Linked DNA regions of Diceros bicornis minor. The protein of the gene in region 2 binds, or shares a complex with, the protein of the main gene of each other region. Links are inferred from orthologs where the notes say so. Each region holds a gene or a part of one and is shown on either strand. Other genes may lie near its edges. The genes, in order: POLR2E, RUVBL1 and MORF4L2.

Evidence for each region.
Region 1: RUVBL1 (region 2) and POLR2E share a complex: the UniProt entries of both Homo sapiens proteins name them as parts of the PAQosome complex. The link is inferred for Diceros bicornis minor from reciprocal best matches to the Homo sapiens genes RUVBL1 and POLR2E.
Region 3: RUVBL1 (region 2) and MORF4L2 share a complex: the UniProt entries of both Homo sapiens proteins name them as parts of the nuA4 histone acetyltransferase complex. The link is inferred for Diceros bicornis minor from reciprocal best matches to the Homo sapiens genes RUVBL1 and MORF4L2.

Annotation. Positions count from the first base shown.
Region 1 is NW_026691553.1:615,502-619,249, forward strand, and holds the start of POLR2E (DNA-directed RNA polymerases I, II, and III subunit RPABC1), read right to left. Parts: upstream 2,891-3,748; 5' UTR 2,840-2,890; coding exon 2,783-2,839; intron 1,009-2,782; coding exon 834-1,008; intron 1-833. UniProt on the Homo sapiens protein: DNA-dependent RNA polymerase catalyzes the transcription of DNA into RNA using the four ribonucleoside triphosphates as substrates.
Region 2 is NC_080741.1:92,873,407-92,877,154, forward strand, and holds the start of RUVBL1 (ruvB-like 1), read right to left. Parts: upstream 2,630-3,748; 5' UTR 2,553-2,629; coding exon 2,412-2,552; intron 1-2,411. UniProt on the Homo sapiens protein: Possesses single-stranded DNA-stimulated ATPase and ATP-dependent DNA helicase (3' to 5') activity; hexamerization is thought to be critical for ATP hydrolysis and adjacent subunits in the ring-like structure contribute to the ATPase activity.
Region 3 is NC_080781.1:96,707,637-96,711,384, reverse strand, and holds the start of MORF4L2 (mortality factor 4-like protein 2), read left to right. Parts: upstream 1-868; 5' UTR 869-961; intron 962-2,353; 5' UTR 2,354-2,443; intron 2,444-3,748. UniProt on the Homo sapiens protein: Component of the NuA4 histone acetyltransferase complex which is involved in transcriptional activation of select genes principally by acetylation of nucleosomal histone H4 and H2A.

The DNA.
Region 1 (3,748 bases), on a different chromosome or scaffold from region 2:
CCGAGAGAAGCAGGACGCCCCCAACGTCACCAAAGACCAGGAAGTAGAGAGAGACCCCCAACTCCAGGGCAGCCCGGCCCCCAGGCAGGGTCTGGGGAGGCGGGTGATCAGGCCTCACTGTCCCCAGTAAACACGTCTCCACACGGGGGACACCGTTCTTAGCGCCACCTGGGTCTGTTCTGCAAACATTTTCTGCCCACTCCCTTGACTCCAGCGCCCCCAAGGTGCTCACGCCCCAGCGTGGCCCAACTCTGGCAGGCTTCAGAGCCAGGCTGCCTGAGTGCAGCAGGCGCAGAGACAGGAACGCGGGGGTCCTGGGACACCCCTCGGGGGGCTCTTCACTCAGCCCGGGCTCAGAGAGGGTCCTGGAGGAGACGGCACCTGAGCTGGGTCTCTAGGGACGATGATGGACACCGACCAGGCAGGGCGAAGAGGAACGGTGTGGTGAGGGGGATCGGCAGGGACAAGGGCAGGAAGGAGCCTCAGGGAGCAGCAGGCGGGGCTGACGGGGTGGGGGCAGAGGACACGGGTGGATCTGAGGTCAGGAGGGGCCGGGGGCCCAGCTAAAGGCCTGTGATAATCCTGGGCAGAGAAAACAGCCAAGGAGAAGAGAACAAGGAAGGGGACCAAGGAGACCGAAGCTAGACAAGGCACTGAGAGGGTTCAGAGATCAACGGCACCACCCTCCCAATAAGGAGGGCGAGGGGGATTTTCTTCCCAGAAAGACAAGGCCCAGTGTGGACTCTGGGCCACACAGCAGGCCCTCAGATGGCTCCACCAGAACCATGACCCCTCGCGGACACACGGCTGCCAGGGACCGGCAAAGCCCTCACCTGGGAAGAAGACGAACATCTGGTCGGTGGGGTCGTCATTGTGGGCCACCAGCACGGTGAGGTCCGTGCGCCGCGGCCGCCCTTCACTCGGCTTGTCCCCGAACTGGGCCTTGAACTCCTCCAGCGTCTGGTCCAGCTCGTCCTGGGTCACCAGGTAGCCACGGTCGTGGCACAGCTGCAGACAGAAAGAGTCAAGTGACCCCAGGGCAGAGAAGGCATAACAGAAAGAGGTGGGGCCGGACGAGGCCGCTGCAGAGGGCGCCGTGGGCAGTGTGGGGCCTGGTGCAGTGGGTGTGCGTAGAGGCCAGAAAAGGGAGAAGGGACGAGTGGAGACAAAGACCACGGGGCACTTGAGAGCCCCGAGCTGCTCCAGGTAATCGTGTGCGTCATCGTCTTATCCCCAGCCTCGGGGAGAGGCCCTGAGTGGGAAGCAGCGGCAGAGTTGGGCCCTGGGGTCTGGGGCAGATGGAGACAGCTGGGTGAGAGGGGCGTTGCTGGGCTGGCCAGGCAACTCCAGCTCAGAAACTGGGTGAAGGCCTGAGCGTGTGGGCTCTTTGACTGGGGTCAACTAGAAGAGGACAAAGATGGATAACAGGAAAGTCAGAGCTTCCCACCCCATCTCCTCCGTGAAGTCCCCACAGCCCGATTCTGCCTCCTGAGCCCTCATGTCTGCTCTCTCAGGGTCCCCAACGCTGTCAGCCTGAAGCACAGTTGTTTCAGCCCCTGTCTCTGGGGTCACTTTGCAAAGCAGTAGAGAAGCTGGGCGGTCTTGGTCAAGGCCATGCCCCACCGGGCCTCTGAGGGTCACACTGGTCCCTTCCCACAGGACGGCTTAAAGCAAGTGACAAACAGTGACTGCTCAACCAGCTGGCTAGTGTCACTCCACTCCGACCAGCCCCAGGAAGTCCAAGTTGGTGGCCGAGGCGCAAAAGCAGCCACCAAACCGAGAGATCAGAGACGGACATCCTCGCAGGACGGCACCTCAGGCCAGCTGACCAGAGTATCTTCCCAGCCCACGATTCTGGCATTCTGAGCTAGGCACGCGGGGTGGTGCTCCGCCTTCCAAAAACATCAATAAGCGGGACACCCAGTGTCTGCCGTTCCCCCTCTCCAACTCGAGGGAGATCTCGGCCCGGAGAGACAGCAAAAGTCTCCGCAGACCGCGCCCCCGGGGCCGCTCGGACTCTCGACTCGGCCGCTGGCCCCTGTGGGGTCGTCCCGTCCCCGCAGACCCCGGCCACCGGGCCGCTGGCCGCTATGGGGTCCCCCCATCCCCGCAGACCCCGCCCCCGGGGCCGCTCGGACTCTCGACTCGGCCGCTGGCCCGTGTGGGGTCATCCAGTCCCCGCAGACCCCGGCCACCGGGCCGCTGGCCGCTATGGGGTCCCCCCATCCCCGCAGACCCCGCCCCCGGGGCCGCTCGGACTCTCGACTCGGCCGCTGGCCCGTGTGGGGTCATCCAGTCCCCGCAGACCCCGGCCACCGGGCCGCTGGCCGCTATGGGGTCCCCCCATTCCCGCAGACCCCGCCCCCGGGGCCGTTCGGACTCTCGACTCGGCCGCTGGCCCGTGTGGGGTCATCCAGTCCCCGCAGACCCCGGCCACCGGGCCGCTGGCCGCTATGGGGTCCCCCCATCCCCGCAGACCCCGCCCCCGGGGCCGCTCGGACTCTCGACTCGGCTGCTGGCCCCTGTGGGGTCCCCCGGCCCCCGCAGGCCCCTGCCCCCGGAGTCCCTTCGTCCCCACAGACCCCGCCCGCTGCAGCCTCGGGGGCCCCGCCTGCCGACCCCTCGGCTCCAGCCGCTCGGGCGGGCGTGGGGGAGGCTCGTCCCCGCTCCGGGCCGTGCGCTCGCCGCCCGCCCCCCGGACCGCCGCGCGCCCGGCTCGCCCGGACCAGCGAGGCCCGCCCTCCCCGCGTCCGCCAAGCGGGGCGCCGCACGCGCCGCTCACCTGCATGATGGTCTTGCGGATCTTCCACAGCCGGTACGTCTCCTCCTCGTCGTCCATGGCCGCCGCCGCTCGCACTCACTGCGCGTGCGCTTGACGGGACCCGCGCCCACTGCGCCTGCGCCGAGCCCCGGTCAGGGCCCCCTCATCCGCCCCGTGCAGGGCTGTCGCCAGCGGACGCCTCACTACAGCGACCTTCGGGACCGGCAGCGCCAAGGGCAGCCCGAGCCTTCCGCGAGCGGCCGTTGGCTGCGCGAGAGGCGTGCGCAGGGCTCCTCCCACCAGCACCTCGGAAGTTCTCGCGTAGCTCTGACCGCAAAGCCTCTCGGGAGTTGTAGTTTCCGTTCGACGCCCGCTTGGGGCGGCGGTTTAGAATCTCAACAGGCAGAAACGAGGTGTGCGCGGGGAAACTGAGGCCTGCAGGGGGGCAGGGGTCTGCTTGCCTCCTAGGGACAGTCGGGCGGCCTAGGAAGAGCTCTATAAATATTTATGCATCCAACTGTAGGGCCGTCTCTCAGTTGGCTCTGGCCCACGTGCAACTTAACGCCCCCTAGCCTCAGTTTTCCCGTCTGTACAATGGAAATAATAAAGTGCCCATTGTAGAGGGTTAGCAGAGAATCGGAAGGGATGGTTGTGTTTGGGAGGAGCTTGGCATAGCTCCTGGTGCTTATGAAGTGCTCCCATCTCGGTCTTCCCCTGTCCTGTCCCCAAGCCCCGGGTCTCAGATATCCCACAGTGCCCTACTCCTGACTGTGCCTGTCTCATAATAAATAAGTGACAAAGTATGTTAGAAGGTGACAATGCTGCAGAAGAAGAGAGAGAGCAGGCTACGGGAGCTGGGAGGTTTGCAGTCTGCAGAGGGATGGTCAGGGGAGGGGAGGAGGAGAGTCCAGATCACAGGAGGAGAGGGAGGGAGCCCTGGGGATGTCTGGAGGAAGGTGTGTCAGGTGAGGTTACAGCCGGTGCAAA
Region 2 (3,748 bases):
AAGACCGGCCCTGAGCTAACATCTATTGCCAATCCTCTTTTTTATCCCTTTTTCTCCCCAAAGCCCCAGTAGATAGTTGTATGTCATAGCTGCACATCCTTCTAGTTGCTGTATGTGGGACACGGCCTCAGCATGGCGGGACAAGCGGTGCGTCGGTGCGCGCCCAGGATCCGAACCCAAGCGGCCAGTAGCAGAGCGCGCGCACTTAACCGCTAAGCCACGGGGCCAGCCCCGGCTATGTATTCTTATTCACACACTTGCACCTCTTCCATTTAATCTCCCTCAGTTTAGGCTCCTTCTCTCTAGAGAGATATGTTCAGTGAATTCTAAAATTTAAAAATTATGAACTGAAAGGGCCTTTAAAAGATCACCTAGTCTCTCATTTTTCACACGAGGATATTAAGCACCAGGGAGGCTGCTGATGTGACCAAAGTTATACAAGGACCCAGTAGCTGAGGTGGGATGCCTATTAATTCAATAAATAAATACCAAGCCTCGGTAATGAGTCAGGTTCTGAGTATATAATAACATTACCTGGTCTGTATCCTCAGGAAGCTCATATTCATACAGAGGCAGATAGCATCAGTTAAGAGCATGGATTCTGGAGTCAGATAGACTTGGGTTTAAATCCTTACTCCACCAATTACCAGCTGAGTGACCTGTGACCTACCTACCTAACCTCTGTGAACCACAATTTCCTTATCTGAAAACAGAGTTCCTAATATAGTTAGTGGCACAAATGCCAAGGAGTTTATGGGTAAAGTGTACTAACGTCTGCAACTTGCTTTGAAGAGCAGAAGTGGATTGGTGGATGGATAAATGAGCAGCACCATGGAAAAATGGTGGATGGATATAATAAAGCAATTGAGTAAAATGTTAATTGTAGAATTTAGATACACAGGTAATCACCATATAAGTCTTGAAATTTCAACTATTTTGTATGTCTGAAAAGTGTCATAAGAAAGTGGCGAAGGGACGATTATTAGGGTGGAGGTGAAAAGCAAGACAATGGAGATAAAGCTGCTTAGCACAATGCTTGGCACAAAGCAAGCATTCAACCAGTGTTAGCTATTTGCAGTTAACAGGTCCTCAGTAAGTGGAAGATGGATAAAAAGACATTTCAAAGTCACCCTGACTCTGTCAATATTTCCTTTTTGGAAAGATCATGTTCAAAATGGAAAACAGAGGCTTTTCTTTGGCCCTTTGTATTAGCACAATTAGGCTAGGAGGCAATAGTCTTAACCTCATTATTACTTAATAATGGTTCCTGTGGGTGCTAAGCCATGTCAGAGGCAAGGGGCATGGGTCTGACAGTGCTCAGCAAGCTGAGAGGGTGGCTATAACTATCACAGAGAGAGCACTGATTTGGGAGGCAGAAACACACACGGGTACAAAGCCCAGCATTACCATTACTAAAGTGAGTGGCAAGTGGGTATGTGAAGTGACCTCTCCCACCCTCATTTATTTCATCTGCAAAAAAATACAAAAAGCTTGAATAGTTTTGTGATTATAATGTAGGCGAAAAGGGCCAGCCCCATGGCTTAGCTGTTAAGTGCGCGCCTCCGCTGCTGGGGGCCTAGGGTTCGGATCCCGGTGCGCATCGACACACCGCTTCTCCGGCCATGCTCCGGCCATGCTGAGGCGGTGTCCCACATACAGCAACTCAGAAGGAAGTGCAGCTATGACGTACAACTATCTACTGGGGCCTTGGGGGAAAAAATAAAAATAATAATAATAATGTAGGCGAAAGGACCTGGCATCACTGCCACTTAATAAAACTGGATTTATTTGGTATGAGCCAAAAGAATGCTAGGGGTGTGGGTACAGCAGATTGCTCCTCTCTATAACTCCCACTTCCCTCCTTCAGCTCCCAAGCCGTGGGAACCTAAGTAAGCTTTTTCAGGTTGATCACTTCTCTACTTTAAAACCACCACAGCCTCCCAGTGCGTTCACAAAAATCCAAATTCCTTATCACGGCCGACAAAACCCTGCAGGAACTGACCCCCACCAAAGTATAATAATTATTTTGTTTACTGGCTTAACCGTTTACCGCCTGTCTCTCATCACACTAAAATGTAAGCTCCATGAGAGCCGGGACCTCATCCGTCTTCTTCCCCGCTGTATGCCAGCGTCGCGCGGAGATGGCGGCACGGAGTGGGGGGCTCAATCAAGACCCGTCAATGAGGTGAAGCAACCAGTCAACCGCCCCGCGGGACGTCACTTGTTCTCCTGCGCCCGCCCCTCTCCCAGTGCCAATGCGGCGCCCCCCTGCCGTCCCCCGTAGCCCATTTTCACCGCCCTGATAGAAAACCTCGGCGGGGCATCCCCGCGCCCCTCCCTGCGCCCCCGTCAGCGGCCTCTCGCGGCAGGGCCCTGCTCGGCGCCCCAACTCCCTGGCCGGTCCACCACACCTCGCGCGCGTTCTCCTGGCCCACGAGCCCCGAGGCGGCCTGCTTGGCCAGGCCGCTCTCGTCCAGCCCCAGCCCCTTCACGTGGCTGTGGGACGCGATGCGCTGCGTCTTCGTGGTGCTCTTCACCTCCTCAATTTTCATCTTGCCGATGCCGGAAGCCAAAACCAGCGTGGAAAACCTGGAGCTAGGACCCCACGCTCGGCGCCTGGGTTACCATGCGGCCGTTACTAGGGCGGTTTGTCAAGGCCCGCCTTGGTCGGCACGCCATTGGCGGAAGCGGGAACGCCTCAGCTCCCCATTGGCTCACGGCTGCGCCCATCGCGGCTGCCGGTAGGGCTCCGCCCACCCACTTCCGGCTGTGTGACGGAGTTGGCTTTCCCACAGCCGGCGCTTCCTGCTCTGGCGCGTGGCGCGAGAGCGCAGAGCGGTCGCGCCCGCAGGATGATCAGGGGTTGTGGCGCTGCAGCGAAGTGGGCGCCTGGAGTCCGGCTTTTAATCGTGCCATCCTATCCATTTTTGCATTTGAACGTCATATCCTTCTGCGAAGCTCAAGTTATTACCTCCGTTTTGGAGATAGAGAAACTGAGGTTTAGAGCTTAAGCTTTGACTTTTGCTTACTGAGCTGTTGTCTGACTCCAAGCATTTGCAACTCCCTGCGGAGGCCCAGCTCGGCCAACTGCTCTCACCCTGGCTCCGCTCAGCGTCCGCTGCGGAACTTTGCTTCTGCCTCCGCCCTCTCCCTTTATTTAAGTTCGCTGTGAATAACATTTTAGTTTCCAAAACTCTTCAACCCTGTAAGGTAGTATAATTCCTAATATATATAAAGACGCAGGCTAAAAGAGGCCCAATAACCGGCGAAGAAGGTACAGCAAATAATCAGTAGAATTGGAACTCCAGCTGAGGATTTAAGGCTTCACAGCCTGGATAATCCTCATCCCATGCTCCGACCTCAGGTGAGACAATCAGCCTGCAAATGTGTCCCCTCAGGTTCCATAATGATGTTAACGCTGCCTGCACCACAGTGTCCTCTTCCCATCCATCTCGTCATTCAACAAACATGTGTTAGCACCTGCTGTGAGCCACACTACAACGCGCTGGGGATACGGAGATATAATACAAAATCTCCAGCCTTGACAAGCTTAGTCCTTAGTTGGGAAACTTGCAACATGAGATGTGTGGGAGCAGGTACACCCACGTGGTGTACAAGCCCAGAGCAGGGCCACCCTGAACAGCCTGGGGAGCCAGGGAAGGCATCATGAGGTTTGGCCTGGGCCAAACCCTGATGAATGGGTAAGACTTCCTCAGAAGCAGATAGTATGCCACCATTTTACAGATGA
Region 3 (3,748 bases), on a different chromosome or scaffold from region 2:
GACTTTATTTTCCTTTTCATTAGAACAATTTTCAAACATATGCAAAAGTATAGAGCCATCTATATAGAGCGCGCGCACACGTACGCACTGAGGCACGCATACCCTAGCTGCCGGACACACGCCGGGCCCAACGTTAGAGGCGCACGCCTGCGCACACCCACCACCTGCAGCGCCACGAGGACTGGCGCGCGCACACACTCCAACCGCAAGGCCATGCAAGCTCGCCCGCGCACCTATACACTAGCCCCCACACCACGCGGCCGCAGCACCCACCACCCCGACTCATACACATGTCAAAACCCCCATTCTTCCTTTTTTTTCCTCCAAGAGTTGCGCGAGGCTCGGGGGCGTGGCCCCACGTTTGACCTCGCGCTTCCCCACTCGCGGGAACCTTAGCTCATTTCCGCCCATCCCGTTTCCGCAGGCCACGTAGACACTTCCTTTCCCAGTGGGGAAAAAAAAAAACCCATAATGCCTCCGTGCAGGAAAAAAAAAATAAAAAAAAAAATAAACCTCTGGTCAAAGCGGAACTCTGGGTCGTGAAAATAGGCCACGTGAACACCCTGCCCTATAGACTTATGACCCAACGACTGTCGCGCTTTTGGAGGGCGGGCTCAGAACCTAAGGGGGCGAACGTCATTGGCCAGAGCCCGCACTAAAGGAGGAAGATGATTGGCTTGCCCTAAGCCTTAACCGTGAAGAAGCAGGTTGCTAGCGCCTGCCTTTACTGCGGCGGAGTGTCATTGCTGACGTGGTGGGCCTCGTCCAATCATTTGATAATGGAACATTCTAAAACTTAGACGAGACGATTGTTATTGGCTGAAGGGCATAAGCCCGCCTCCAGGGTGACGTGTCTGCCTATGGATATCAGTTGCCAGAGAAACCTGGCTTTACTATGGCGGTTGGAGGGACGGCAGTGATCACACGTCGGCTGCTGGAAAGAACTGGATTCTCGTTTCAGGTTTCGGGGTGGGGGTGGGGAGAAAGGGTTGACGATTTCCTCTTATCGTCGTGTATATAGACAAGGTTAACTAATGGCTTCACAATCGAGCAGAGCTGGATTCAAATTCCTACTCGCCAACGCCCAGCTTAGGCTGGCTCCTGTTCTTTCTGTGTCTCGGTTTCCATGTTTGTAAAATGGTGACAATAATAGTATCTACCTCAGAGACCTGTGTCTCAGAGGCGTGTACTGTATATGCGTGTATATAAGGCACTTAATACGAAGCCTGGCTCCGAAAGATATTAACCATGATTGTGGAGAGAAAAACCCGCGTAACAGAATGAGGAAAAACATAAATTATGTGAATTCGTTCATTATAGTGCTTTTCCTGCCCATCAACTTCTTCTTTAGAAGAAATTAGAGATATAAGAGAGACATATAAATCTTTACTCATGAAATAATTTGCTAATTGGGAATTACCTCAAATAGCGAGGATTGGAATTTTCCATATTGAAAAGTTTAAAAAAAGGAGGAGGGGGAGAAAGAGATGGAGAACGAGAGCGAGCTGGAGATGAACCACATGCAATAAGTAGGCCTTGTTTGGATCCTTATTCGAGCACACCAGCTGTGGGAAAAAAAAAACTGCTTAGGATGCGTCGGGGAAATTTGAAGACGGATTCGATATTTGATGTTTTTTTAAGGAATTGATGTCGATTTTTTAGACGTTATAATGATATTGTGGTTATGTTTTCAAATAGTCTTTATCTTGTAGAAATATGTATGAAAATATTTACGGATTAAGTCATAAAATATCTGGAATTGGTTTCAAAATACGTTGATGACTAGAATTTGCTTCAAAATAATCTCAGCGGTAGGGGGAAGTGGGGAGGGGTATAGATGGAACAAAATTGGCCCTAAGTTAGTAATCGTTTAAGCTGAGTGATGGGCATGTGGGGTTCCTTATATTCTGTTTTTATTGGTATGTGTTTGAAATTTTCCATAATAAAATACAGAAAGTCAGCTATTCAGTGAACTTAAAAAAAATCGGAGTTGGGGGGAGCGGTGGGTGGGGTTATAGATGAAACAAAATGGCCTTCAGTTGGTAATTGTTGAAGCTGGATGATAAATTTGGGTAGGTTTGTAATATTCCCTTTACATTTCTATCCATTTGAAGTTATTCTCAATAAAAAGTAAAAAAAAGGCAAAAACAAATTACTTTGTCAAAAATCAGGATGAATGTACGAAAAATTTGAAAATATAACCCCAAGAAAGGAAAAAGAAACACTTGTACATTATTTATCAGCTCTGTTGTCCTTTGTGTGTGATAAAATGTATTGACTGATAGAAGAGAAAACCATCATCTCATGTCTTTTTATTTTATGTCCTGTCCTGTCCCCTTGTTTGACCTTCTAGGCTATCATCAGAAAAGCTAAGTTTGCTATATAGTAGGGATCAGAAGATCTGATCCTGATTGCAGAACCGTCCCTGATTACAGAAACTTGGGTAAGTGCCTCCCTTCTGGCCTCAGTTCTCAAACAAGATAATTTCACACAACATTCCTAACTATCCAGAAATATTTTGAAGATAAATAAGCGCCTATCCGGGAAAGCACTCTAAATTCTAAGGGGAGGATGGAGCTAAGTCCATTGGTGCTTCCAGTATAGAAAGCGCCTGAACAACAGAGGGTTGTGTAATTTTTAATTCCTTGATAAAAGATACTGCAATTGATCCCCTATAGTTAGTTACATACATTCATATAGTGTTTTTCTCACTTTGTGGCATCTCACATGCAGCATAATTTAGTGGTTAAGAGCAAATGCTGACTTACCGAATTTAAATCCTGGCTCTGCCACTTCTTATGTGATCCTGGGCAAGATGCTTACACACTTTGTCCCTGAATTTCCTGGTATATAAAATAAAGATAATAATAGTTCCTACTTCATAGGATTGTTAAGGGGATTATATGTAAAGTACCAGGACAGTGCTTGGCACTGTGTTTGCTTTAATAATAATTATGGCTCTATTAGTCTTTCTGGTACATCCTGTTTTACACACACATGCACACTTACACTTCTAAAAGCAGTGGATACTTCTTTTTGGAATTGTAAAAAAATAATAATACTTTTGGTTTCTCTCCTGATTTTCCAGAAGCAGCAGTTACCACTAGAACTGAATTCTGAAATTATGACTTCTGGCTTGTCCTAACAATCTAGAAAGATTTTGAGTATATTGATCATATTTATTTATAAGGGAATTTCCAGGAGCTATAATTTTAACTAGCAAATAATAACCATATTCAGTCTGCTAACAGCTTTTATATCATTCCTTCTTTGTCTCGGACTCAAAAATGTCTGTTAAACATAAAGGAAGTGTTCCAAGATCGAAAAGAGAGAGAATTGATGTAAATGTAACTAACAGGGTGTATGTGCATTTAAAGGTTTATTCCAACAAACTGTAGATGTTGTTCACACTCATTTGTAACACCCATACACAAAGGTGTTAGCATTTGGAGTCTGCATTCCTGAATGGTCCATCACTTGCATGAGGAGATGAAGGAATGTTTTCACTCTCTTGACAGCTTCATTTTCCCATGGAGTCACTATATTTTTCTTATTTTTCTCCCTTCTGAAAGCTAGGTTGCAGAGGAGGGCACTGCCCTGGTGGAAAAGATGCAGTAGATGGGTAGGCACAAAATCCCTTTACAGGAGACCATTTGGAGAATGATTTAAGGGCTAAAGGAAGGGAGGTGGACTGTTGGGCCAATAGGAGCTCAGAGAAGGCAAAGGCCAGGGTAGCCTGAAATGGAGA